2 linked regions of the Mytilus edulis genome follow. The protein of the gene in region 2 purifies or fractionates together with the protein of the main gene of each other region. This does not show direct contact. Links are inferred from orthologs where the notes say so. Each region holds a gene or a part of one and is shown on either strand. Other genes may lie near its edges.

Region 1 (12,591 bases), on a different chromosome or scaffold from region 2:
GTATTCCCTGTATTCTAATTCAGTGTACACCTCAGTTTGTCTGGTGTTAAAACAAAACAGTATACAGGGACCTCCTTTTTTCCTATTCATTTAATGTAATGAAATCTACAAAAGTGCATATTCTACTTGTGATAACAATGCTTAATGATAGCAAGTGTTTTTTTAAATAATCAAAGAGCAGAATGCTTTGAGGGATACAATTGCCATAGTTTTCATTGACACATGTAGAGCAGTTCTGCCAACTTTTCATTAAGCAAATGTGTGAGATTTGGCCAAAATTGAAAAGATCAAAGAGGGAAAAAAATAGATCCAAGGATACTGCCGCAAAAAAGCATGAACATGCATGAATCTCGCAGACAGACATAGAAAGAATCCCATGAGTTTCAAATTAATCAATGGAGCGGGGAATCCAGAGCAACCACTCAATCTGATACTCATTGAAATCAAGAAAACTATACGCATGCGCATTAATACATAAACAAACCCGTGACTTGCGATTTGGAACAAGAACGTTTATTAAATGATATGATGAATGGTTCTCCATTTCTTTATCGCAATGTACAGTATCAAATATCAGTTTCATAACGGTAAAATCTGGAAAAACTCTACTTCAGTTCTTATATGACAGAAATAGAATTATCGGAATTCAGAAAACTCTCGCATTTATCAAAACTGGGGAATTACCTCTGACGTGTTTCTAAATTTATAAAAACACTAAATATGAATACTGCTAAATTCTGATTTTCCGTGTTGCTAAAAACACGCATATAGGTCAAGGGAAATATCAAACATGAAGATTATGAAAAGAACATTACAGGAAAGTTGTTTATGTTCAATCATTTTGCCTGTTTTTGCCTTTTAAAGCAAGACAATCATTCATAAGAATCTGAGATGTTGCTGAATGTTTAGAATAAAATGGTTGACGTGAGGGAATACAGCCCTGAGTCAGCGGTAAAAATCTACAGATTGCTTGAAAGCAATCGTATCCCAAAAAATCAAGTTTATTTCAAGTCAATTTGATGACTAACTCACAACAAAACAATTCCTTTGTTCACCAATTCATTCCTTGATCATCAATTATGAGATGACAAAAAGATACATGTATGTTAATCACTTGGGAATTAAAATTCAATGAATTAAAATCCAATAGAAGTAAACATATTAATTTAGTTATGTTCAGTTACACCTGGATCATGCAGCTTGGTCAATTGATTCCTAAACAAAGATTTGTATGTTTTTTTTCGAGTTCTAGAAGAAACACGGCTTCACTTTATATTCATGTTTTGTATTTCCTAAAATACTGTTAATAAGTATTTACGAACAAGAATGGCCAATAAAATTTTTCGGGTCGCGGTGATTTTACCGGGTCGGTCGTGTGAGGGGCAATAAACAATATTTTATTTTTGGCCTAATATGGTGATTATTTAACAAACATAAAATATCAGTCTTTATGGGAGACTAAAGAAAGGCAGACAAAAAGTGCTTTTTCCTGAAACTGACAAATCTGAACTTAAACAGTTTGGGTATAGGTTTTTACTCCCAAGTTGTTGATTTCTGTGTCATTTGGTTTCTTGAGGAGAGCTGTCTTGTTGGCAATCACATACCACATCTGATCTTTATAACAATATGAATAGAAGATGTGGTCTGGTTGCTACAAGGATTTTATAGGAATTATAATAATAGTGTGTTACTAATCAGAATTATTTTGAATGTTGTGTTGGGTTTAATACCAGTACAAAGTAACCATTATAAAAATACCTTGTGTGATTTGATCTGTTCTACCATTGCAGATAATGCTGGAAACAGCAAAAAATACTGAAAACAGAAACATTTTTTCTACCATATACACATAAAAACTGGTCTAATTGTCCTCCAGCAATTAGGAAAGGTCATGTACCAACTATGTCACATATAAATTTCAATTTATTACAGTGTAATGCAAAGTGTTCAATACTTAATATTATTATATTCTTCAAAGTCAAACCAATTGCCAAGTCATAAACATTAACATACTACATTTACAAATACAAATTTTTAATGAGATTTGTATATAATATATATATATATATATATATAATAAAAACAGAAGAAAATTACAAAATAAGAAGAGAAGAAATAATAACGCACCTAAGAAAACGTGGATACAATAACTTGTCCACTGAAGTTCAATTGAAAAAAGTCGACAATTTAAACCGAGAAGATCTATTACAGTACAAACGGAAGAAAGAAAACAACAGGGTACCCTTAGTAATTACTTTTTCCAAAGCGCTTCCAAATGTACATTCAATTCTTAGAAAAAATCTTAAAATTCTCCATCAATCCGAAAGACTAAAGAAAATATTCCCCGATCCGCCTATCGTGGCATTTAAACGTGATAACAACATAAAAGACATCTTAGTGCACAAAAAGCATAATTTACTATTTTATAAACAAACTAATGGATGTGGACCATGTGGTAAACATTGTGCATTATGCTCACATATAAATGAAACCAAGGTATTTTGTGACAACACCGGCAAAGAATATACCATTCAGGGACAAATAAATTGTAAAACCGTAGGCGTGGTATATGCAATTAATTGTACAAAATGTGAAAAATGTATATATGTAGGACAAACGGGTGATACACTATATCAACGAATGCTATTAAACTTTTCAAAAATACGAACAAGGAAAACAGAAGCTCCAGTAGCCGACCATTTCATTCAGAAGAATCATTCAATGACAAATTTAAAAGTTACCGCCATAGAAAGAGTATTTGGGACAGAAACTTACAGAAAAACTAAAGAAGCCTTTTGGATAAAGAAATTAAAAACTTTAGAACCTGAAGGACTCAACACAATGTATGAACGATAATAAAAATATTTATATTAAAAAAGCGAAAAACGCGGCAATTGAACGTCATAAAAGTTATTATAACGTAATGTATTCAAGCAATGTAATTGTTGTTTCAATGTTGTAATTTATTCCAATGAAGAAGGCCGTAATGTCCGAAAAGTATGGGAATTTGTGTTATAGTTTTTATTATACAATCATTCAGAGACTTTATAGATATATATATATATCAAAAAATAATGTGTGCAATTTTTTTTCTTCAAGTTTTGATACTTTTTTAATTAGAAGAACATTTTATTAATTTTGTTTCTGGTTAAGGGAAAGTAGTATATATACTAGAATGGTTGTTTTATATGTAATCTTAATAAAATTGAGAATGGAAATGGGGAATGTGTCAAAGAGACAACAACCCGACCATAGAAAAAAAAACAGCAAAGGGTCTCCAACAGGTCTTCAATGTAGCAAGAAATTCCCGCACCCGGAGGCGTCCCTCAGCTGGCCCCTAAAAAAATATATACTAGTTCAGTGATAATGAACCCCATACTAATTTCCAAAGTGTACACAAGAAACTAAATTTAAAATAATACAAGACTAACAAAGGCCAGAGGCTTTAAAGTATTATAAACAAACAGAGATGTGGTGTTTATGTCAAAGGGACAACATTCCAATCATGAACAACATAAGCACGTCATGGTCTATAAATACACACTTGAAATAATGATCTGTAAAGGTGAGATATTGTGAGGTCTGGATCTGCTAGTATTTCCATCTCGAGTCTCTGTAAGGATGCCCTGTAATCCTCTAAAACTTTATCTAACCCATGACAGAAAGACTTCAGGTACAAACCATGGATCTCAGACTTTCTTTTGTCTGCAAAGAAATCATAAATTGTTTTAATTATTAAATACCATTTCATAAGCTACAACTGTTAATTCATAAATTATTGCAAGCCATGAAATGAGTATCGCAATAACAAGCTCGCATTTTGATATCTGATACAAATAACTGTATAAAGATTTTTATTAAATTGCAAAAAGTTGTCTTTTTCAAATTTGAGATGTCATGTTCTACTGGACCCCTTTAATTTTTCAAACCATCCTTGCAATATATAATAAGCATGATAAGTGCCAGTAATGACATATAGTTTTATAAGATTTAAATTTCTCCAGGCAAAGGCAACTTACCATTTGGTTGAAGACTAAGATGTCCTCCATATTGTCTAATGAAGTTATTAAAATCTCTGTAGAATGTTCCAAGTTTACAAAGTTTGTTCAGTTGATCCACCTCTGATGGTGATATGAAAGGAACATCACTCAACACCTACAATAATGAAAATACATCAGTTAGAACAAAGACATGTCTCATCTGCCTCAGCATGAAGAGAAGAGTGGATATATCTGGTTAACTTTAAATCTTCTAATTAGCCCTCCATCATATATAGATGTCCTGATTATGACAATAAACTGTCAACTGATCAATGAAATAATTTGAGTTCATGCAAATAAAGATAAGATAATATCCTGGGCTCATTAATATTGTCAACTTATAAATGAAATTTTAAAATGCCAATCTAATAGACCACTTTCGAGTTTGTCCTTCACCAGAAAACAAATCATCAATTGTGCCCCGTTAAGACGTTGTTTTCCAGATTATTCTGATAGAGGGGATCACCGATATCCCTGCTTTATTTATGTTCATCAAGCATCTTAGTGATCGTCATAGTGCAGGATAAACTAGAAATAATGTTTGTTCTGTAGGTACTTAATCACAATTCCTATGACAGAAGTGCTTTATATCAATTTCCTGAAGTTATATTGCACTTTTAATGAGAAAAACATGGCTCATATCTTAAACTTATATACTTAATATATATTATTTCAAGTAGCATATATAACACCATATTTTCGGGACAAATCAATTTGAGTGTGCAAAAATGTACCAAAATATACAATTTGTTTACAAAAATATAAATAAAATAAGAAATGACAAATGTTTAAACGTGTAGCCTGTTGATAACTTAAGTGGCATTATCATGTGCTAATTGTCGTGAAAGTAATCAATAATGCTTTTGAAAATTATACAGTACTTGTATCCCGTCGCCTTTGTCAATAAATACACCACCAGAGTGACCAGAAAGAGCGAACAGAACTTCATGTAACATTTTGTGTTTGGCGGTAGTGAACCGAGTTGTCTCCACTTGAATTTTTGCTCACACAGTTCCGTTTCAAAATTAGTAAAAAATAGTTTCTTACAATTTACGAAGAAATATGATTGATGGTATATTAAAGTACATGTTTGCTTGTGAATAGATACCTATTAGTTGTGGTATCATAGTTTTACACTTTTCAAATGTGTTTTGAACTTCAAGAAAAAAAGCTAAATACCAAAAATTTACAAAACGATGTAAGCTTATAATTTCAAAACGGCCAAAATAAAAGGCAACAAACCCCCCCCCCCCCCCCCATAAAAATCAAATGGTAGCTCCCTAAATCCTCATTGATTTTATTTATCGAGATATAAGAAATACATACCTACATACATATAAAGCTACATATCCAAAGCGTTTGACTATACCCGTCACATTTTTCTTAGACAACTAAAAAATGTATACTCAAGTCATCATGGATTATAACTAACATATTATATATCCTAGATCTTGTGTCTGTCAATTCGCGAATAATCTGTTTACTTACAGTCAGTGTATAAATTATTTTACAGAAAATCATATATCAAACAGAAATATTCGGGAAAATCATGAATCAATTCACACCTGAGACTACTATAACACATATGTGTTATAGTAGTCTCAGATCACACAGTGTTAAAGTTGGTTAATTGTTAAGTACCGACATGGGAGCAAATTTACCATGAAGGAATCTCTCATTGTCAAATTTGTCAATACTATTCCAGTATCAGTGACATTAAAAAAAATATCATATTATATACAGCTCTTGTTTTATATAATTATGCAGAGATAACACAACTGCTTTTTATATGATCTATACTGAAAAACTCATATCCCGCAGTCACAAACTTTTTCGTGCGGAACCAAGGTTATATCCACATGATATAATTTAAAGTTCAATAGACTGAGACGGTTTCCAAAGTACCTGTATACTAAATAGCTAGAGGGAAGAAGGATATTTCATTAAAATTAGCTAACTTTCAATCTCTGACCATAGAAAATTTTCTAATCCTTCCTGGTAAAATCCTATTTTTACATCTGTTACATTATGATTTATTATAGTAAACAACACACTATGACAATTTTATATGACTATGATTCCTCCTGCAAATATTTTATAAAATGTTCCTGGTATTTCAGACCAAAATTTTAATTTAGTGTAATCACGATTGTTCCCGTTTACTGAAAATTTATCACAACATGTGTCGCTTGTGGAGCAGGAATAAATTATCCTTCCTGATCACATGAGTTCATTCTGGGATTTTGGTGGGTTTCGTATTGCTCAATCTTCAGATTTCTGCTAAGTGTTTTGTAGACTATTGTTTGACTTTTCCTCGATTCCCTTTTCTGACAATTAAGCCGGAGTGTGACAGTGTTTATTCAATTTATGCTTTTGTTTTTTTCTATGACACCTTCTCCGTCTTATTGATGAATTCTATAATCTTACTGTAAAAATTTTGGTTACATCGTACGTCTGATCAACAACACTCGTACATTTTTAAAAGAAAGTAACCAAAGATCCTCCTCACTGCAATGCGATTTGAGTCATAAAGGAAATGAATCACAGATTACTTTTCCTAATTCTTTCTGACATGTAAAGCTTTAGAAGACTAGCGATATTATGGTATCTTCCGCGGGCTCCACATCCATACAAGCGATATTTTGGTATCTTCCGCGGGCTCCCCATCCATGACATCCATACATAGATAAACCAGACATGAATACAAACGACTATGCATACAATCAGAGGGTAAAAATGAAAGAAGGAAAAAACACCGATAGGATGAAATGTCATGCACAGGACGAAAAATTACAAACGAATTGTTTAGTTAACTTTTTGAATGTATAAAAGTTTTTATTTCTTCTTCAAAAATCACCTTTATAAAACAAATGCAAATTTATATGCAGAGATAAGATATATTAGAAAATTTATGAAATTGTTTTTAACTATGTTTAAACAAAAATTGTATCATAGTTTTCATCATCATAAAGTATCTTTAAAAAACTGAACTTGTCATGTTTCTTATACATAATTTGATTTAATATCAAGATTTGATCTTTGATTATTTTTTATATGTGTGTGATATGACTATAACACACATATGTGGTATAGTTTCAATGATACCACAATTCTAAGTTCTATCTTACTCCTTTTCGGCTAGACAAGGATTTATAATTTATAATATAATTTGTTCTTGGGCTAGACAATTTAGATCTTTTATATCAGTAAGGAAGAATATATGTATCCCCATTTCGTGTACATATTTAAAGATTGAGAATGAAAATGAGGAATGTGTCAAAAAGACAACAACCATCGAGATGACTTCTGAAGACTGCGGCCGAGGCCGATATAAACGTAATTTAAACTAGGAATAGATTGTGAGCACGTGCAATTGAATTTTTATATGTCTGTTGATATTATGTTAGAGGTTAAAATATATGTTAATCATCGCTGTAACATGTTTAAATACATGATTTTTTATGATTGCCCCGGAAATAGTGAACCGCAAACAGTCCAACCTGTTTAACCAGGAACATATATTTTAACTATATAACGTAAGGGTACCCAAATTGCACCGAGTACCCAAATTGCACCTATTTAGAAAAAATAGCAACAGAAATCCTACAAGATTTCCTAGAGACTAATCACTTAGTATTTTTATGATTTGATACTATGCACGTCTTTTAACATAGGTAAACATATTCAGATATACACAAAACGTTCACAGTGTTTATCAACAGATGGACTGTTTACTGAAAAAGCAAAATGTACGAAAACGTCATCATGCGACGTCATCAAAGCGTCATCTTCTTAAAATTAGCAAATACAATATATTATAAGTATCCATTTCGTAAAATATGAAGAATAAGCATGGACTAATATCCACTTGTTCAAAATATTTGAAGAAATTAAACAAAAGCTCGGTTATTAGACTTTTGACGATGTGAATTTAACGGCATGGATGCAATTTGGGTACTCCTCATTACAGAATCATGGATAGTTTGGAGGTTGATTCAAACCCATTTTTTTATGACTCAAAATGGATTCAAAATTAAATTGGTGTACCTATACAATAAAGAAGGATAGGGCTACAAAATAAACACAGTATGGACATTTTTTTCTTGATCATAAAAAAACGTAGGTGAAAAAACTGTCAAAATAGGTGCAATTTGGGTACCGTCACGTTACTATTCCCAGGTTTAACTTTCATTGATGACATTCTTTGTCTTAAAATAATTGAACTGACGTATAGTACATGTGTAACCCATATCCAGCTAAGGGGTTCAATTGAAGTTCACATTAATACGGGTTCACATAAAATTGAATTATAGACTTGCAAGTTCATTTATGAGCTTATATTGACAAATTGATGAATAGAATAGAATAGAATAGAATATCTTTTATTTCCATAAGAGGTACCCCGCTCAAGGGGCATAGTGCATATATATGACAATATAAAGTTACAATTTACACTGTTCAAAATCAGTACAATAAAGCAGAACCACAAAACAGTATGCTAAAGTTAGCATGGTTGGACATTATAAATATTGCGAGTTATTGTGTAGACGATGTTTAGTAAAGCATCGCTATCCTATAATATCATCATTGGCAACTGAGGGGATATGCAGAGCCAGTTTTGAATAAAAACATCTTTACTTTTACGAAGATAGTTGTTTAATGCTGTATTCCTTATTATTTTGGTTATTAGTTGCACGGGAAAATAGTCCCGAAGATATCCATCCGCATCCTTTTACACGTTATCTCGAGCAGAGCGACCACGTTTTTCTGCTCTCACAAATATTATTAAGCATGGTACGAAAACTTTATATTTAACATGATAACATTAACTTGTTGGTCTAAAATGTCAAAATAGTCTTCATTTAAACGCAATATACTAATCGATCTCTTCAAATTCCTGTAATAAAGGACACCGGCATGAATTCATAAAAAAGGGGGGATATACATCGTATCGGGTCACATCGTCCTCATTCAATTGACCATATTTGCAATAAACATGCAACTGTTCAGGAGTTATTGTATATGATACACAGTCATCCATCTTGACCATACATTATATTGCAGAGTGTTCTGTAGGTGAACCATATGGAATTTTGACCGTTACTTTTATTTTGATATCCAATTTTTGCAATATTAGGTTATTATGTCCCTAACCTGTTATTTGATGTTTATAAAAGTTTTGATATTGAAAACTATTTTTTATACTTGATTAAGATTATAAAACACATTGCCCTACAAGTAGTGAAGTATAAGGGTTCAAGTGATTCATACATTTATTGTTATATTTAGCCTTTTTAGAGTAGTCCATTTGCCAATTCGCCGTTTCAGAATCTAATGCATCCTGGGTAATATTTTCAAAAGCGTACACCAAAGCATTTTGATTGGTTTAAAACGTTATAAACAATGGAAATTAAACTAATGACGTAACGTTATTTTCACTTTGGGGTACGAACAATGAAATTACCCATGATGCTTTAGATTCTGAAACGGCGAATTACTGCTTTGATTTTGTTTTAGCACCCTTTTTAAGCTTCCCTTTGTTAATCGTAGACTGGTTCTATATCGCCATTTATCGGACAAAATTTGGTTTTGTCAATGCTATATCGGACAAAATTCGCTTTTGTCAATGCAAAGCATGATCAGATGAAAAGTATCTAATTTTTCATGAATAATAACTTTTGGTTACAAAAATACAATGTATATTTTAACTATACAACAAATTAATATAAGCAGATAAGAAAAACATAAATATTACATTTATACGCACAGGATAATTTGCTCTTTCCCCTTGCCCAAGACCACAATTAATGACCCTGCTTTTCGTTCTCCACGAATATAGTTCCTTTTAATTAGAGTGTATTTTTCCATAATTTTTTTCATTTCCCTTCCTCACTCATTTCTTAGAGTTTTTGGGGTGGAAATGAAAGAAGAGAGGTGAATTAAATTTTTGAATGTTGTATTTAAACTGATTTTGATATAGAATGAGTGATTATGCCAAGTGCAAAAAGGTAATAATTACATCTCTTGACTTGTCAATAGGGGTATGGATGTGTATTGGCTAAATTTGTAAAAGTGATTGCTTCAATCTTTCTGAATTTTGGATATATATTTGGACTAGTACTATACATTACACACACTAAAAAATTGACAAAAGTGCATGTTGCAATTTTTTTTAAGGATACAAAACGTTATAAGGAACTGATGAGGAATTAATTGTGATCTGTGACTTAAGCTCTCCATTGTCAATAAAAATTTGTCCCTCACAAGGGAGACAACAAAAAAAGAGGTCTCTAATTACAGGGTCAATTATGGGAGTTGGTAAATAGACTATTGGTTTATCATATTATGATAAGATGCATGTGTTTGAAATTTAGCTTTACTCACTTTACTGTGTTTAATATTGTAGAAGGGATTATTAACTGGTATGGCATTGTTTTAATCTATTTATGTTGTATACGATATGAATGCAATACTTGCTTGTTATTTTAGGCTGCCGCAGCGAGACCATTGATATCGGTGTACGGTGAGAAGGGGGATGCATCGGGAACAAATGTCACCCTTCCAGCTGTCTTCAGAGCACCAATCAGACCAGACATTGTCACCTTTGTACATGCACAAATGAGATTCAACTCCAGACAGCCATATGCTGTTAGTGAGAAAGCTGGTAAGGGTTAATTAATTAGATGCATCTTCCAAGAATAAATATCAATTGTAAAAAATAAAACCTCAAAGACTAATCAAATAAGTCAGTTTTGCAAAACGTTCCATTTGAAGACTTTGTGAAGGTTCCAGTTGAAAAGAATTATCAAAGCTATTTTGGATATCTGTTTAGAAATGTCTATTTAAAATTGAAAATTTGGAATTGATTGTTAACATGAATTTTCAAATATTTCATGTGTAGAAAGCTGAAAGATTTGTAATGACTTCTTTCTATAATTAATATAAGCCAAGATATAAAGTTATAAACATTTATTTTTTCATGCAAGAAAAATGTTTTGTTTCCGATATATATATAACAGGTATATATCCTTATTCTCAAATACCTTCTGCACATCTTTGGTACAGAGATTAATACATAGGACTTTAAAAGTGGAGAAAATGTAACATTTTTAATATATAAATATCTTGTATAATTTAGGTCACCAGACTTCAGCTGAATCTTGGGGAACTGGAAGAGCTGTAGCTCGTATTCCCAGAGTCAGAGGAGGTGGTACTCACAGATCTGGACAGGGAGCTTTTGGAAACATGTGTCGTGGAGGTCGTATGTTTGCACCAACAAAAACATGGAGAAGATGGCACCGTAAAATAAACACTAACCAAAAAAGATACGCTATCTGCTCAGCCATTGCTGCCACTGGAGTACCTGCTCTTGTTATGTCCAAAGGTAATGTTATCCTTGAGGGTATTCTTTCTTTTATGCACTAAATGCAGATGCTATTATTGCCCTAAAAATCTTAATATATTAAAGATTACAAATTCATTTTACTTTACACATACCAATGAAATTTGTGGATGGAAATAATATAATATTACCATACTAAAAGTATCAATCGAAAAAAGCCATCCATTTGACAGGCACAGCTTTGATAAGAAAAAGTTGGTGGCAGTCAACTGTGTAAGTGTTCAATACATAATCATGGTAGTTTATATCTATAATGCTAGAACTATTTGAATGTTTTCACTGCAGTATAAAACCTACAAAACTTATCAGAACGAAACTTAGTGACATAAGATTGATCCAGCAACATTCTTGAAAAGAAGTTTATATCAGCATGGTACGAAGCCAAACTTTTATAATATGTGATCATAGGAGGGAGAATTTAATCTGTATTTATTCTGTAGGACACAAAATTGAGGAGATTCCAGAGGTCCCATTGGTGGTCAGTGACAAAGTTGAAGAATACAAGAAAACAAAAGAGGCTGTTGCACTACTTAAAAAAGTTAAAGCCTGGAATGATATACAGAAGGTAACTTCTAGAGTGACAATCTTAATTTTGTTTGTCTATATCTTTTTCTAGCATGATAATTATTAACAGTATAGAAATTTACATAAAGAAGGAAATATGTTTCTTGGGTCATATTGATGTATAATCTAAATTATAACTATAACCATAACATAAATTAAACCATTTAAGGCAACCGTCGTGAAGATTTTAAAAATTACATCTTCACGACAATATCTAGGTTTAGTGTCTGAACAGTTGCTTTATGGCAGTTTGCTCTGAAGTGATTTTTTTTTTGCTTTTGTAAGAATTACAATTGAAATATGTATATTAAAATGTTTTCAAATAAACCACTAAAGAATATGTAGAATATTTTTTATAAAGTAACATGTTTTGGTGCCAAATTTTGGTCATTTGGCCAAATAAAAAAGTATGTGTGGTTCCAGTTATATCTGAAAAAAAGTTGGGGTAGGTAGGTAAGGATTTCTTTTTATTTTATGTTTTTTTTTTTACATTGAGTCTATGGGAGCAACATTCTGACTTTAACAGTGCTTAATGAAAAGACAATAAAATCTATAGGGTAGGCTGTTTTTGAGGCGAAAAATTAG
Region 2 (13,596 bases):
TATAAATTTATATTTGAATAATCTTTCATACATGTAACCTACAACATACATGTAGTACTAATACATCAATTTTTCAAATCTTGACATATAAGTAATTGGTATTGTTATTTACAAAATGCAGATAACCATAATTTTAATTCTGTTTCATTTATCATTTTGCAATAATTTAGATTGTATATAGAATCATTAAAAACCTTTTTCTTTATATTCAATCCTTATTTTGTTTAACAACACTTTGAAAATAATTGATAAGCTGACCTGTACCTTACCCAATAATTATATAAGTAGTGTGTGTGTAAGTGTCTAAATTTTTTCACGTTTCATAGATCTACAAAAAACATTAGTTGATTGCCAATACTTTGAGGCAGTGAGCTTGTAACCTCCTTGGTTTTGATCAAAACTCAGGTTTAACAAATAAGCTTTTAGGCCATTAAATTTCCTTAAACATGTCAAACTAGTAGTAGCTAGTCTATGAAATATCTCATCTGTTGAGGGTGAATTAGATTTATCTAATTTTAAGTCTATGCAATACCTTATTTGTTCAGGTGGTGCTTGTATTTCAACAACGTCTCCAGGATCTGCATATGCATGATCATTAACATGTGATTCTGCCGTGTCTCCTGGAGAATTGTCTGCCTCCTCACCATCCTCCTCCTCCTCATCTGGTTCCCTCTCCTGTGTAGTAAAACCAACAGCTTCTTCTCCAGGAATAGCTGTCCATCTTGTACTGAAATCAATCGACAAACTATCTGGTGCCGGACTATCGTCGTCTGACCTTCTTTCCTGGTTATCGTCAGGATCGTCATCAATCTGATACTCCATATCTTCCTCAAATGTCACATGACCACTTGATATGTTTGTATCCTCGTCTGATGCAGTATCATCATCATCCTCGTCATCTTCTTCTTTATCTTCCAACTCTGGGTCAGCAATTAATGGCATAAACCCACTATAAATAAAAATAAATTAAAAACTATTAACTAAAATCATCAATAAACATGATTAAACTGAACTTTAAACTGAACGTTAAGGATAGTTGATTCAAAGAAAAATAAGACAAGGTAAACCAAATTTCCGAAAGGAAGGTGTGGCAAACAGATATAAAACATTACTATTTAGGGGCCAGCTGAAGTCCAACTTGGGGTGATTTTTCTAACAGTATTAGTGACCTTAGCTGTTTTCTGCTCTTTGGTCAGGTTGTTGACTCTTTGACACGTACCCTATTTCCATCTCAATTTTATATTGACAAATAATCATAATTTCTTGTTTGGTGCTGTGATTTCTGTTTGTCTCAATCTTTTTTTTTTAAAAACATAATTCTTGAATACTAATATGAGGCAGGCATTACCTGTATTAAAATGGGGACGAAGTTTGTATGATTTATTTTTTTGTAACTTAAATATTTGTTAAAAAAAAAAACTTTTCCGATTTTGGTTCTGTTGTTGGGGATTTTAGTTGTGACGTTATTTAAGTAATGACGTCATATGCAATGTAAACAAAGCTACGCTATCATCAGGTAACGTTTTTTCATATCAAGGAATTACATGTATTAACAAATGATTAAAAATGAAATTGGTATTGCGTTTCTTCCTGTTTTATACTAGACTGATAAATATATATATTTTACTCAAAGTTTCATACAAACGAGACAGGGAAAAGTAAGTACATTGTAGATTTCTGCGCAGATGTGGGAATTCAAAACATGACATCAAAAAAATTGAACGATTTTGAGTTCATTAGTACAATGAAAATTTCGGGAATTTTCCCGATATTTTTTTTTTATTTTATTGCTTTAAATAACCACTGAAAGATAATTATAAGGTCATGAATTGGACCATCTAAAAAATTCATTATTTTCAGCAATTTTCAAGAGAACATTTGACAATTCATGTCAAGGTAAATAAATACATGTACATGTAGACAGTAGTCCTACAATTTAACAGTGTGAAGGAGTAGTTCAAGTTTTTTGTTCTGGCAAATTATTTTAAATATAAATAAACGACCAACTGTAAACTACCATCTTAGAAAAAAATCGTGTGTTTACAGTGAAAGATTCCAGTATAAATATACACATCACTACCGGAAAATCACCATTTTCCATGTGATTGGTAAACTGGACTCAGGTGTTGCTTTGCTCTCAATCTAATGTGGCAAATTACCAATCAATGGGTGGCCAGTTAATGTGTTTGGTTGTTAAAAAAAACAGATATTTTACAATTATAGTTATTTTTTGTTGGCATACTGTTAAGATTTTGTTGCATTTTAGCCATATTGAATACTTCTGATGGAAATTCATCTGACTGCCTGGTCTGTGGGTTTAATTATGTATAATGTATTCCTCAAAATTTTTCTTTTGGAAATTTCTTTTTAAGAAATGAAAAAGTTTTAGGATCAGGGGGTTTAAACTAGGGTTCGTCGAGTAACTTGAACCACACATATACTAATTACTTTTATTTGGTTATGTCATAATATATGAAGGTATGGCTTAAAAATATTTAATTTGTTGTTTATACCCTCAAGTCCAGTTTCCCCTTGGCTGGTAAGTTTGTTCATTTAAGTAAAGAACTTAATATGGGGACGAAGACCCAATTATGGTAGAAAAATTAATAAAATTAAAAATTAAAAAAAATCAGGAAAATTTTTCATTCTACTAATGAACTCAAAATCGTTAACTTTTTTTCAGACTTTTTTAAATCTCCGCATCTGCACAGAAATCTACTTCCTTTTCCGGTCTTGTTTGCATGAGACTTTGAATAAAATATGTACTTATCAGTCTAGTAAAATATAGGAAGGAACTCAATAAACCATCTCATTTTTAATAATTGTTTGATATGAAAAAAAAACGTTCCCTGAACAGCGTTTCTTTGTTTACATTGAATATGACGTCATAATAAAAATAATGTCACAACTAAAATCCCTAACAACAGAACCAAAATCGGAAACGTTACGGTATTTCCATTTTGAAATTAAAATATGGTTGAATGAAAAAAAAAAAATCATACATTCTTCGTCCCCATTCACAGGTAATGCCTGATTCCTATTATTAAATGAACAAAATTACGATCTTGAGCCATGTATCTATGACTATGAAGACATGGTCTGATAATACGTCTGTTGTAAGTCATATGGATTCGTACTACATGTATGGATGCTTTTTCGGTGGAAAAAGTGACATCACAATGCATCAAAGTTGTATCAAAGTTTTTAGAGAGAGCCATCTTCAAGCAGCTAGTTGATTTTTTTCAAATTAAAAATATATTTCACCCATATTTGTTTGCCTTTAGAGCAGGATACTGCTGCCAGACAGCACTTTTGAAAATCATTGAGGATTGGAAGAAGGCTATTGATGATAATCAATATATTGCTGCTGTTTAGTCTTTGATTGCTTTCCTCATAATTTATTAATTTTAAACTAAAGTCATATGGACTATCTGAAACAGCTTTAAGCTTGATAGACAGTTATTTACATGTAAGTAAAAGAAAACAATGTGTAAAAGTTTAGATATAAGTATCTAGAAAGATATATATAAAGGTGTGCTGCAAGGCTCTATTTTAGGACCTGTAGGCTGTACTTTTTAATATTTTGTTGAATGACATTATTCATTTTGTATCAAGCAGTTCATTGTATAATTATGCAGATGACAATACTTTGTCATATTCACACACTGATTTACACTGTGGTAAATATTTTAGAAAAAGAAAGCTTAGAGCTAATAAATTGGTTCAGTCTAAATCATATGAAGGCCAACCCGACAAGTTTCAGGCAATAGCAATAGGCAAGAAAACTGAAAATAAAAACATTTCATTTAATTTAGATGGTAATATTATACATAGTGAAAAAGAAGTGTAATTACTTGATGTTACAATTGAATATCAACTTAAGTTTGATGCCATATTTCTAACATTTGTAAAAAGGCATCAAGACAATTACATGTACTTAAACGTATTCATTGGTAAACATTTAACAAAATTAGGTAGACTTACAATATATTATTCATTTATCATTGTTTTGTAATATGGCACTTCTGTGGTGATTGTAATACCAGAAAAATAGAGAAAATACAGGAGCGTGCCCTAAGATTTATATTATATATGAAGAGTATTGTAGTACTTATCAACAACTGTTAATTAAATCAAAATTACCAAGTTTAGAAATCAGAAGAATTAGAATAATAGCAATAGAGGTATATAAATTTTTTAATAAACTATGTCCATTATATCTACATGAACTTATTGAAATTAAAAAAATGTTATTACTCTTTTAGAAATAACAACATAGCAGATATGTTTCCAGGGTAAGGACAACTACCCATGGGCTACACTTATTCAGATATGCAGGAGCCAAACTCTGGAACGAACTGCAAAATAAAATGAGGGAAGAAATGCCATTGGGTCAGTTTAAAAGTTTGGTTGGTAATTGGAAGGGCAGTTCGTGTCAGTGTTCCTCCTGCAGATCTCAGTGAGCTGTAGATCAGTTTATTTATTTACATGTATCTTGTATACTCTGGCTTTTAAATTTTTAGGCATAATTTTTTATTTGTGTTCTAAATACGTGAACTACTTTTAGTGATTTATAATAGCTATTGCATGAATGTTAGTTATCTGCATTTTATGTTTGCTGTATATGCTTTAATTGTGCTTATTAATTGCTGTGCTTGATAACATTATTTATTTTGCATGATGTGCTTTATGTTTTATTTGTTTTATGTATTGTGCTTGTCATATATCCTTCTTTATTATATAGGTACCAGTGTTCTCCTTTTTTCACTAAGGTAAGGTGGGTGTTTTGAAAAAAAACACTTGCAACCGGTTGATTTTTTTAACATTTTCAACCGGGTTTATTTTTTTCAGTTTTACTGTGGGTTCGGGTCACAAATAGAATGATAAGTATTGTGTTTACATTTAATGGAATTGAACCATTCTTCTGCTATCACTGCCAGCCTTTCATTAAATGATTTGACAAAATAGTTTCGTGCATATCGGATAGCAGTTCATAATTGCTTTTGCAGGACTCCCTCCTCCTACGAAGTCTGCTAATGCATGGCCTATCAAACCAAGTTTCTGTCCTGTTCCTTGCTTTGGTGCTGTTTTGGCACACAGAACAGTAATATCTTTCTGTGACGATATCCATTGAAAGTCCTGTTCATATTTATCACCACCCCTCAAATGAGGGGTAATCTCTCAATTTAATGACTATCCCTTTTATGAGGGGTACATTTAAAAGGAAACAGATGAGGGGAAACCTCTTAATGTAATGACTATTCCTTTTATGAGCATTGAGGGGTACATTTAAAGAGAAACAAATGAGCACATATTTGTTTTGGGCCTTTTTAACTCATTATGGACACTCTTGTAGAAAAGTTGTACCAAATAAAACGATTTCCCCCCTTTTAAGGTAATAAATCTAAGTTTTTCTTTTTCTTTTCTTCCGAGTTTCTTCCACAGTAATATGACCCCTTTCCTGATGGACAGTCCCTCATTTGAGGGATATCCCTCATTTTGGGATTGTTCCCAACCTGTTTATCTTCGCGATCACCTGTGTGCCGATTCTGTTGTTTTGATACTTTTTTTTCAATTTCAACAATTTCAATTCAACTATCCGTTTTAGTTGACTTATATGGCTTAGAATTTTTCTGGTCATCTGCCTTTCTATTCCCCCGATTAATAAAAGAAAACATTGAAATTTGACGATCCGCCATTTTTGTCAATGAAAACAAACTGCGAGGCGCGATTAGTATTTAAATTTTTACGGTGCGGAACCGAAAAAAATCCGGAATTTGAAAAAAAAAACCGACCACCTCCTAAAATGGAAAGGTGGTCGGCTTTGAAAAGAAGGTGGTCGGCACACCCAGCTTAAATGCCGAATGTAAAACACTGATAGGTACACCAATTTGATTTTTAATTCATATGGAATCATAGAAAAATTGGTCTGAACTAACCTCCAAACCATCAATGATTCTGTAATGAGGGGTACCCAAATTGCATCCATGCTTAAGTTCTCATCGTCAAAAGTTGAATAACAGAGCTATTGTTTAATTTTTTCAAATATTTTGAACAATTGGATATTTTTCCATGCTTACTCTTCATCTTTTTTAGATATGGATACTTGAAAGATATTGTATTTGCAAATTTTAAAAAGATGACGTTTCGGTACATTTTGCTTTTTTCAGTAAACACTTCATCTGTTGATAAATACTGTGAATTTTTTGTGTATTTCTAAATATTTTTGCCTATGTTGAAAGACGTGCATAGTATCAAATCATAAAAATACAAATTGTTTAGTCTCTAGGAAATCTTTCAAGATTTCCGCTACTGTTTTTGCTAAATAGGTGCCATTTGAGTACCGTTACGTTATACAATAGCATTTTAAAAATACTATAATTGTTTAGTCTCTAGGAAATTTGCACTGCTGTTTTTGCTAAATAGGTGCAATTTGGGTACTCTGTTCAATTTGGGTACCGTTACGTTATATACGATAGCATTTAGTAATATAGATATATATATATACAACACCTTGAGATGTGCATTTAAATCGTCTCAACCTCTAAAGAGTAATTATTCATCTAAATTGTCAACTTATTAATTTGAATCCTTCGTCAATGATGTAGAGCTTAGTTTTAATTTAAGGTTCATCATAACAAATGGACAAATATGGCCGTATTTTCAGCTCAAAAACTACTCTGTGTACAGACTTACCTGTGCTGTTTGGAAAGTTTTTATGCCTAGCATCCACTAGATATATAAAAGTTATATGCATTTTAGGTTTAAGAAAGATAAAATCTTTCTTGGTTTTTGATGGGCATTTTTTTTCCTTTCTGCAGAAGGTGTAAAAATAAACAAACACCTGAATTACTTTGATACTGTCCACTCACTGACTCAGATAAACTCTTTAACTCACCTAAAGTTGTGATGATACCTGTTGTCCATGTCAATTAAGGACAATCAAAACAATACAAACCGGTTTTTTACCTGAGGGAGCATCTCATAGTTGTACCACAACTTATTTAATTTTTACACCTTTTGCATGAAGGAAAAAAAATGCCCATCAAAATCAAAAAGACATTTTATCTTTCTGAAACACAAAATGCATTTAACTTTATTATATCTAGTGGATGCCAGGCATTAAAAATTTTCCAACTCCGCATGTAAGTCTGTACTCAGAGTAATTTTTGGCATGTAAATACAGTCATATTTGTCCGTTTGTTATGATGAACCTTAAATTATCATGTTAGTTTTTGGTTTGTCATGTAAACCATGTAAACAGGACTTTGTTATAATATTTGGTAAATTATGGGAAATTGCTTTTTAAATCCCTTGAGGAAGATATAAACGAGTAATGATACAGCTAAAAATACTGAAAGTTCCTTATTGTTGTCCATAATCTTTACTTCTAGTTTAATAATATTTTTGGTTTTAAGTCAGACTTTTGTAACATGTAACATAATGTATTCCATTCATCTGACTCATAGTGCAATTTTTTTGTGAAGTGCTCAAAATTTCCTGACGTTTACTACAGTAATTAAGTAAAATACTCATTAGCATTAAAAAACTAACGATGGTTGCATTGCAACAAACAGTTGTTCATGAGGTTCGTCGTTCTCCATGTTTGTTGTCCATATATTGGGTTAACTGAATTTACATATTTTAGTAAACAAAACGAAACAAGTGCGCCTTCATAAGTTCGTATTCCGATAAATAAATAATTGAAATGAGTAAACCGGAAGTCAAGATCATGGCGGGATTTTGCAGATCAACAAATCAAAACAAAACACAAAATAATGATTATTATGATTCAGACTCTTTTCTTTGTAAATGAAAATGGTATTTTGATATAACAATGCATTTATGTATTTGTGAGCTCAAATGGGATATATTTAACTGGGAAATAAACACTGTAAAACGAATTATTTTGCATCTTGGTTCAAAGTGATTGACAGAAAAATTGTAATGTAAACAAAATGAGTGCTTTAAAACTTGCTTCATGTGGAGATGATATAAAAGTTTGGGACACCAATAACTTCTCTATTGTGAGACAGTTTAATCCGCATGAACAGAACATCAGTTCCATTGCATGGAATGGCAAGAAGTCTACATGGAACAGTGATAGTATCCTTTAATAATTTAATTAAAACCAGTTCACTTTTAAGTTACTTTAAAAAACAAAACGTTTTTAATTTTCAAATACAGCACCTCATCTGTTAGTGTTAGTGACATGCTGGAACATCTTGGATAGTCTAACCTTCAACATTGTACAAGAACAAAGGAAACACAGCTGTATTATATAAGCTATAGAACAACTTATATAAAAATTGATACATCCATCAAGCTTATACATGTACTAAATGAATGCCCTTCCAGAATTAAAAACAAAATGGCACTTGGAATTCATTCATGTAAAACAACTGTATGGAAGGAGTCGTTCTATTTTCGAACAATCAGAGAGTGTTAACACCTTGTCCAACTATATACTGTCTCTACCACGAGTCCTGAATCTTTCAAGTCTCAGCTTCGTCATTAAATTAATGACATGTTATTAATTACACCCATTTTATTGTATCATATGATTATTGTTTGAAGTAATTTAGCTTTGTCACAGAGTCTTTAAAAACCTTGGTCCAAGATAATTCTTGGCTTCCAATGGATGCTTTCCTATATCTAAAGTAGGTATTTTTCTGTCCAAAATGATTTGCTGCTTTGTTGCTTCTTGAGACGACTGATGGCTTTTAATCCATATAAATCAGGCCTCAATCAGTTCATTTTATATCTCTTCATTTATGAAAATTTCAGCTTTACATGTATGTAGCTGACTTCCTTTACTTTATTTTTTTTTCATATTTAGACATATTTCACAGTGACCAATATTCAGCAAATCCATCATTTTTACTTTCATTTTCAAATACATTTACAATAATCTATACATGTATATATGACATGTATGAAACCTTGTTTAAATTAGGTGTATATTTAAACCCCCATATTTATTGCAATACATCTACATGTACATGTAGATTCATATTTCCACAATTTGACCAAAAATTAAATTTTGTGTATGTGTAAAATGTCAATATTTATATGATACTCCTTAATTCTCATGCCAGATTTGTTATTATGCAGTGCATCTTCTAAGAGTGATAAAATCTGTTTTACTGCTGTGAAAGATACAGCCGTAACAGTAACAGAATTTGATAGTCCTGTAAGTATATATAACAATGTGCCATTTCTTCAATTATGCTTGGTGTTACTTATGGAATTAATTACTTGCTGTTTATATGAAAACTTAACAAAACAACAGATTAAAGTAGGTGTACATGTGCAATTTGTGTCTGGTTTTATTAGCATCTTCATTATTGTTATACCTGAAAGTAAATCTGTACATGTATTTACTAACCAACACAACATTTTTATAAATAGAATAAAGAGGACCAAAATAATGCACTCCACTGCTTTTTAACAGCAAAAAGTCCGATGTTTAGAGAATTTGGCATTAATTAGCTAGTTTCCCTATATGATACATTTATTTTGCATCTCAATTCTGATTATTTATACATCCTCCACAGCTTGACAAGAGAAGTCCATGTGATATTGAATTTAAATAAATAATATGTTCTGAAGACTATTTTTTTACAGGCAGGAAGTTTATGTGTAGATTTTAACTCCACTTCATCATACCTGTTAGTTGGTGGAACAGACAGCTGTATCAATGTATGGGATCTGAAGTCACGGAAAATAAAAAAACAGTACAAGGTATGAGTGTATGGGATCTGAAATCACAAAAAGTACATAAACAGTTTGGGGTATCAGTGAATGGGGTCTGAAATCACAAAAAAATACATAAACAGTATAAGGTATATGAGTGAATGGGATCTGAAATCACAGACAAATTTAAAAAAAAAAAAGTATAAGTTATGAGTGTACATGGTGTATGGAATATGTCATCATGGAAAACAAACATTATAATGTATGACTATATGCATGTGATTTCTTGTCACAGACATACACTTGAGTTCTAAAACAGATTGAAATGAATAATTTGGATGAAGCTATGCACTTAGAAATGTAAATTACTTGGAAAATCTGCTCAAATCCTATATTATTTTTACAGTTATGCCCCCTTAGATTGATATAATATATTGGTTGTATTACAAATGGAAAATTTCAGAACCAGTCTTGTCTTACAGAATTATTGATAAATTTCATTTCTTTTTTAATGGACTAAATAATTTACTAAACTTTTTGTCAATACTTGATTGACTGTTAGAAAATTTACCTGTGCTAGTTGTTTCTAAAGATTTATTTTTGTCTAATTTACAGGACCATAAAGGACCTGTGACTTGTGCCCAGTTTAACTGCAATGACACATACATTGCATCTGGTTCTGAAACAGGAGAGATTATCTTGTTTAATGTGGTTACAGGTCAAGGTTGCAGTCCAATGGTTGCACCAAAGTGCCAGGTATTCCTATTTTTAAGTTATGTTGTATAATATTAATTATGTCTCTAAATCTATATACATACATAATTTGAATGCTGTTGATTCATTTAAAAAAAAGTTATTTTTGTGGGATTTTTAATTTATGTGGATATTGTAAGGAGGGGAAAACATAGAAATTAAATGCTTAAAGATAAGAACTATATTTTTAGTTTATTTGATAGATGCAAATAATAAAACCCTGAAATAAGGTACCGTTTAAAACTTAAAAAGTATGTTTATTGAGCAAAAATTATTAGAATATTAAAAATATTTACATTTTTGTGTACAAAATTAATCTGATAAAGTAACTCAATGTTTTTTTCTTTTTCAGACAGTACGTCAGATACAGTACAGTAAATTTAGAAAGTCATTACTGGGGTCTGTGTCTGATGATGGTGCTGTTAACCTGTGGGATATCAATACACGTAGACTGCTTCATAGCTTCTCAAGTTCTCACATTGCACCAGCCACGGGTTTGAACTTTTCTCCCATCAATGATATATTGCTGATGTCTGTAGGACTTGATAAAAGAATTGTATGCTATGATACTCAAGGGAAAAAGTAAGGATTACATTCTCCTTAGGTTTTGCATGTATAAAAATGTAGTATAACTTCTAAAGATATTTTAGATGTAAAATAGTTTGTTATTCATATCTAATAAATTATGGGATTTGTTAAACATTAACGTTTAATTTCTTCTATTGCTTAGTAAAATATGTTAATTTGTGAACAGCCATGTAATGAAAATGAAATTATCTCAGAAAAGTTTAACAGTATTTAAATGGTGGCTAATAGAAGAAAAAGCATAGTAATATCACATAATGTAAAGTTGAAGAACCTTAGATTCATGTTTCTTATGATAACTATTTGTATCACATCTATAAAACATTTACCCTGTTAAACAAACAAAAAGCCATCAGTGTTCTCCCCAGGATTTTTTTAAGGCGCAAAATTCAAGGGCGCGTAACTCTTTTTTTAGAGTGAACTTTTGTGATCTGAAGCAATCAGTCATTAATCCATGACATGCAATATGAATTATAATGCTTTGTGTTATGTGTTTGATAATGCAGAGTATTCAATAATGAATTACAAGAATATATATATATGAAATAAATTGATTTTAAACACAAAAGTTATTTATAAGTCAAAATATAAATATTCATCTCTGTATTCTCTGCTCCTTCTAGGGATAATTTTTCAAGATACTGTTATTTTGTTGGACAGTCTGTTCCTCAATTTTGTCTTTATCCTCTTTAGGGTTGAAAACCCCCTCTCACAATAACTTTTGCTTATACCCCCTTTAACATTTGTAAGCCATGAAAACTCAGTCAGCCACTTGTCATTGAAACCAGAAACATGGTGCTTGCTGTTATCACTTGCTAAAACTTAAGCTAGGTTGGGATTAGGAGAAGCAATGACATCTGCTTATACTGACAGTGAAGAGGAAGGTGTATTCCCCTTTTCATGAGAAGTCATTAGCGGCTGAAAAAAAACTTCTACTTCCATCATCTGCCTTTTGCTTAGAAGTCACCCTTTTGTTATTTGCAGAGAACATGTTCATTCAGAATTAGTAAAATCGAATATGGTTAAGATATTTGATCATATTTGGTATACAACTTTTTAAAACAAAAATATGTTAATGAACAGCTGACAAGTTTCCGTAGTTTTACATTACGCTTCCGTGTGTATTATTGTTAACACATATCTCTGGCTGGCGAACGGAATTTGACGATCGACGTTCAATGATCATTTTATTTCTAAAAACACGACAGTTTGAAACAATTTACCTTGCAAGTAACATTTTTTCACTTTATATTAAAATGAATCACTTCTCTTTATCTTTAATCAAAGTTTATTTTATTTTTTTCAATTACAAATACTCTCATTCATAATTTTTATCGTAATTATGTAAATATCTTTAGCAATGTGTATTCAAATTTATCATGTGTATTCATCACGTTCATTGGTCGTGTTAAAATAGATTCTTCTTCTCGACCAATGAAAAAATTCGTTATTTAAATGGTCAAGTGATCACACACACAATGCGTAAATACAATGTATTTGCGATCTATTTCTTCAATTTCTGCACTGAAGTTTTTATTTTTTTAAAATTTCTTCTACAAATATCTATCTTCTTGATGATCATGTAAGCTATTACATGATAACATAGTCCGATAAGGCCAGTGTTCTCCCCAGGCCGTTTTAGCGTCGCGGTACCGCGACGCTATATTTTTTCACCGTGATGCTATAATAATTCCCGCGACGCTATAATTATTTTGAAGATGCTATTTTACTTGTCCTCAATTTTGAACTTTCATCTATTATCGATTATGATCATAAAAATTATATCACCTTTAATTGTAATCCCTTTAAGTCGGACACTAAAGGCAATTAAGAGATTAAATAGCTAGGTGTTAATTGCCCTCAGGGTGATAACTGTTTGGATGCGAATATCCCAAGCTGACACTTGAGACACGACTAATACCACGTGTCTGCAATAACCAATTTCGACATGGAAAAATGCAATCACAAAACAATTCGAAATCTACGTTTTATATTACGAAATTTCAAAGATTGAATCAATTTTTAAATAAAAAGGTCGTTTATTTGTGCAACTCTCCAAAAATTACTTTCTTTCTCTTCCGGTAATAGGAGAGCGAGAATTTTGGTTTAGAGCTAAAATAAGTTTAATACTTCTTTAAAAAGTTATCATAATTGGCTTAAGTTTATATGTTTAATCCATTTAATGCATTAAAAGCGTCTTATTCATTCACAATCTCTTCTCAAACAATGTTTATTCTCGGACTCATTTTCGTAAATTTTTCTACAGCCGCCATTGCACATTTTTGTGTAAACTACGGATCGGAACCGGACCAGATACGACAAAAATCCGCATTTTCACGATAATGACAACAGATGGACAGTAGACAGAAAAAATATACCAAGAGAGAATACTATGCTTTAACAGACTATTTGTTAAATAACTTTGTTAAAAATACATATCATTTTAATGTAAAAATAAGAAACAACTGGAACTAATTCATTAAGTGCCATGAAACAATGAATGTCATAAACATGATAAAAAAAAGTTTTTAAATTGATTTTTTCTGCTACTTTTGCTACTTT

What was found.
Region 1: the proteins of protein NEDD1-like (region 2) and gamma-tubulin complex component 4-like purify together in Homo sapiens (affinity purification with mass spectrometry; 3 studies listed by BioGRID and IntAct, with this or other methods). This does not show direct contact. The link is inferred for Mytilus edulis from reciprocal best matches to the Homo sapiens genes NEDD1 and TUBGCP4.

Annotation. Positions count from the first base shown.
Region 1 is NC_092347.1:34,713,756-34,726,346, forward strand, and holds the start of gamma-tubulin complex component 4-like, read right to left. Parts: upstream 5,053-12,591; 5' UTR 4,997-5,052; coding exon 4,922-4,996; intron 4,156-4,921; coding exon 4,020-4,155; intron 3,706-4,019; coding exon 3,545-3,705; intron 1,816-3,544; coding exon 1,759-1,815; intron 1-1,758. Other genes in the region: large ribosomal subunit protein uL4-like, read left to right, coding at 8,832-8,834, 10,530-10,704, 11,179-11,424, 11,883-12,007. UniProt on the Homo sapiens protein: Component of the gamma-tubulin ring complex (gTuRC) which mediates microtubule nucleation.
Region 2 is NC_092344.1:14,863,690-14,877,285, reverse strand, and holds the start of protein NEDD1-like, read left to right. Parts: upstream 1-7,693; 5' UTR 7,694-7,958; coding exon 7,959-8,106; intron 8,107-9,098; coding exon 9,099-9,193; intron 9,194-9,627; coding exon 9,628-9,744; intron 9,745-10,311; coding exon 10,312-10,452; intron 10,453-10,801; coding exon 10,802-11,031; intron 11,032-13,596. Other genes in the region: methyl-CpG-binding domain protein 4-like, read right to left, coding at 533-949, 7,555-7,604. UniProt on the Homo sapiens protein: Required for mitosis progression. Promotes the nucleation of microtubules from the spindle.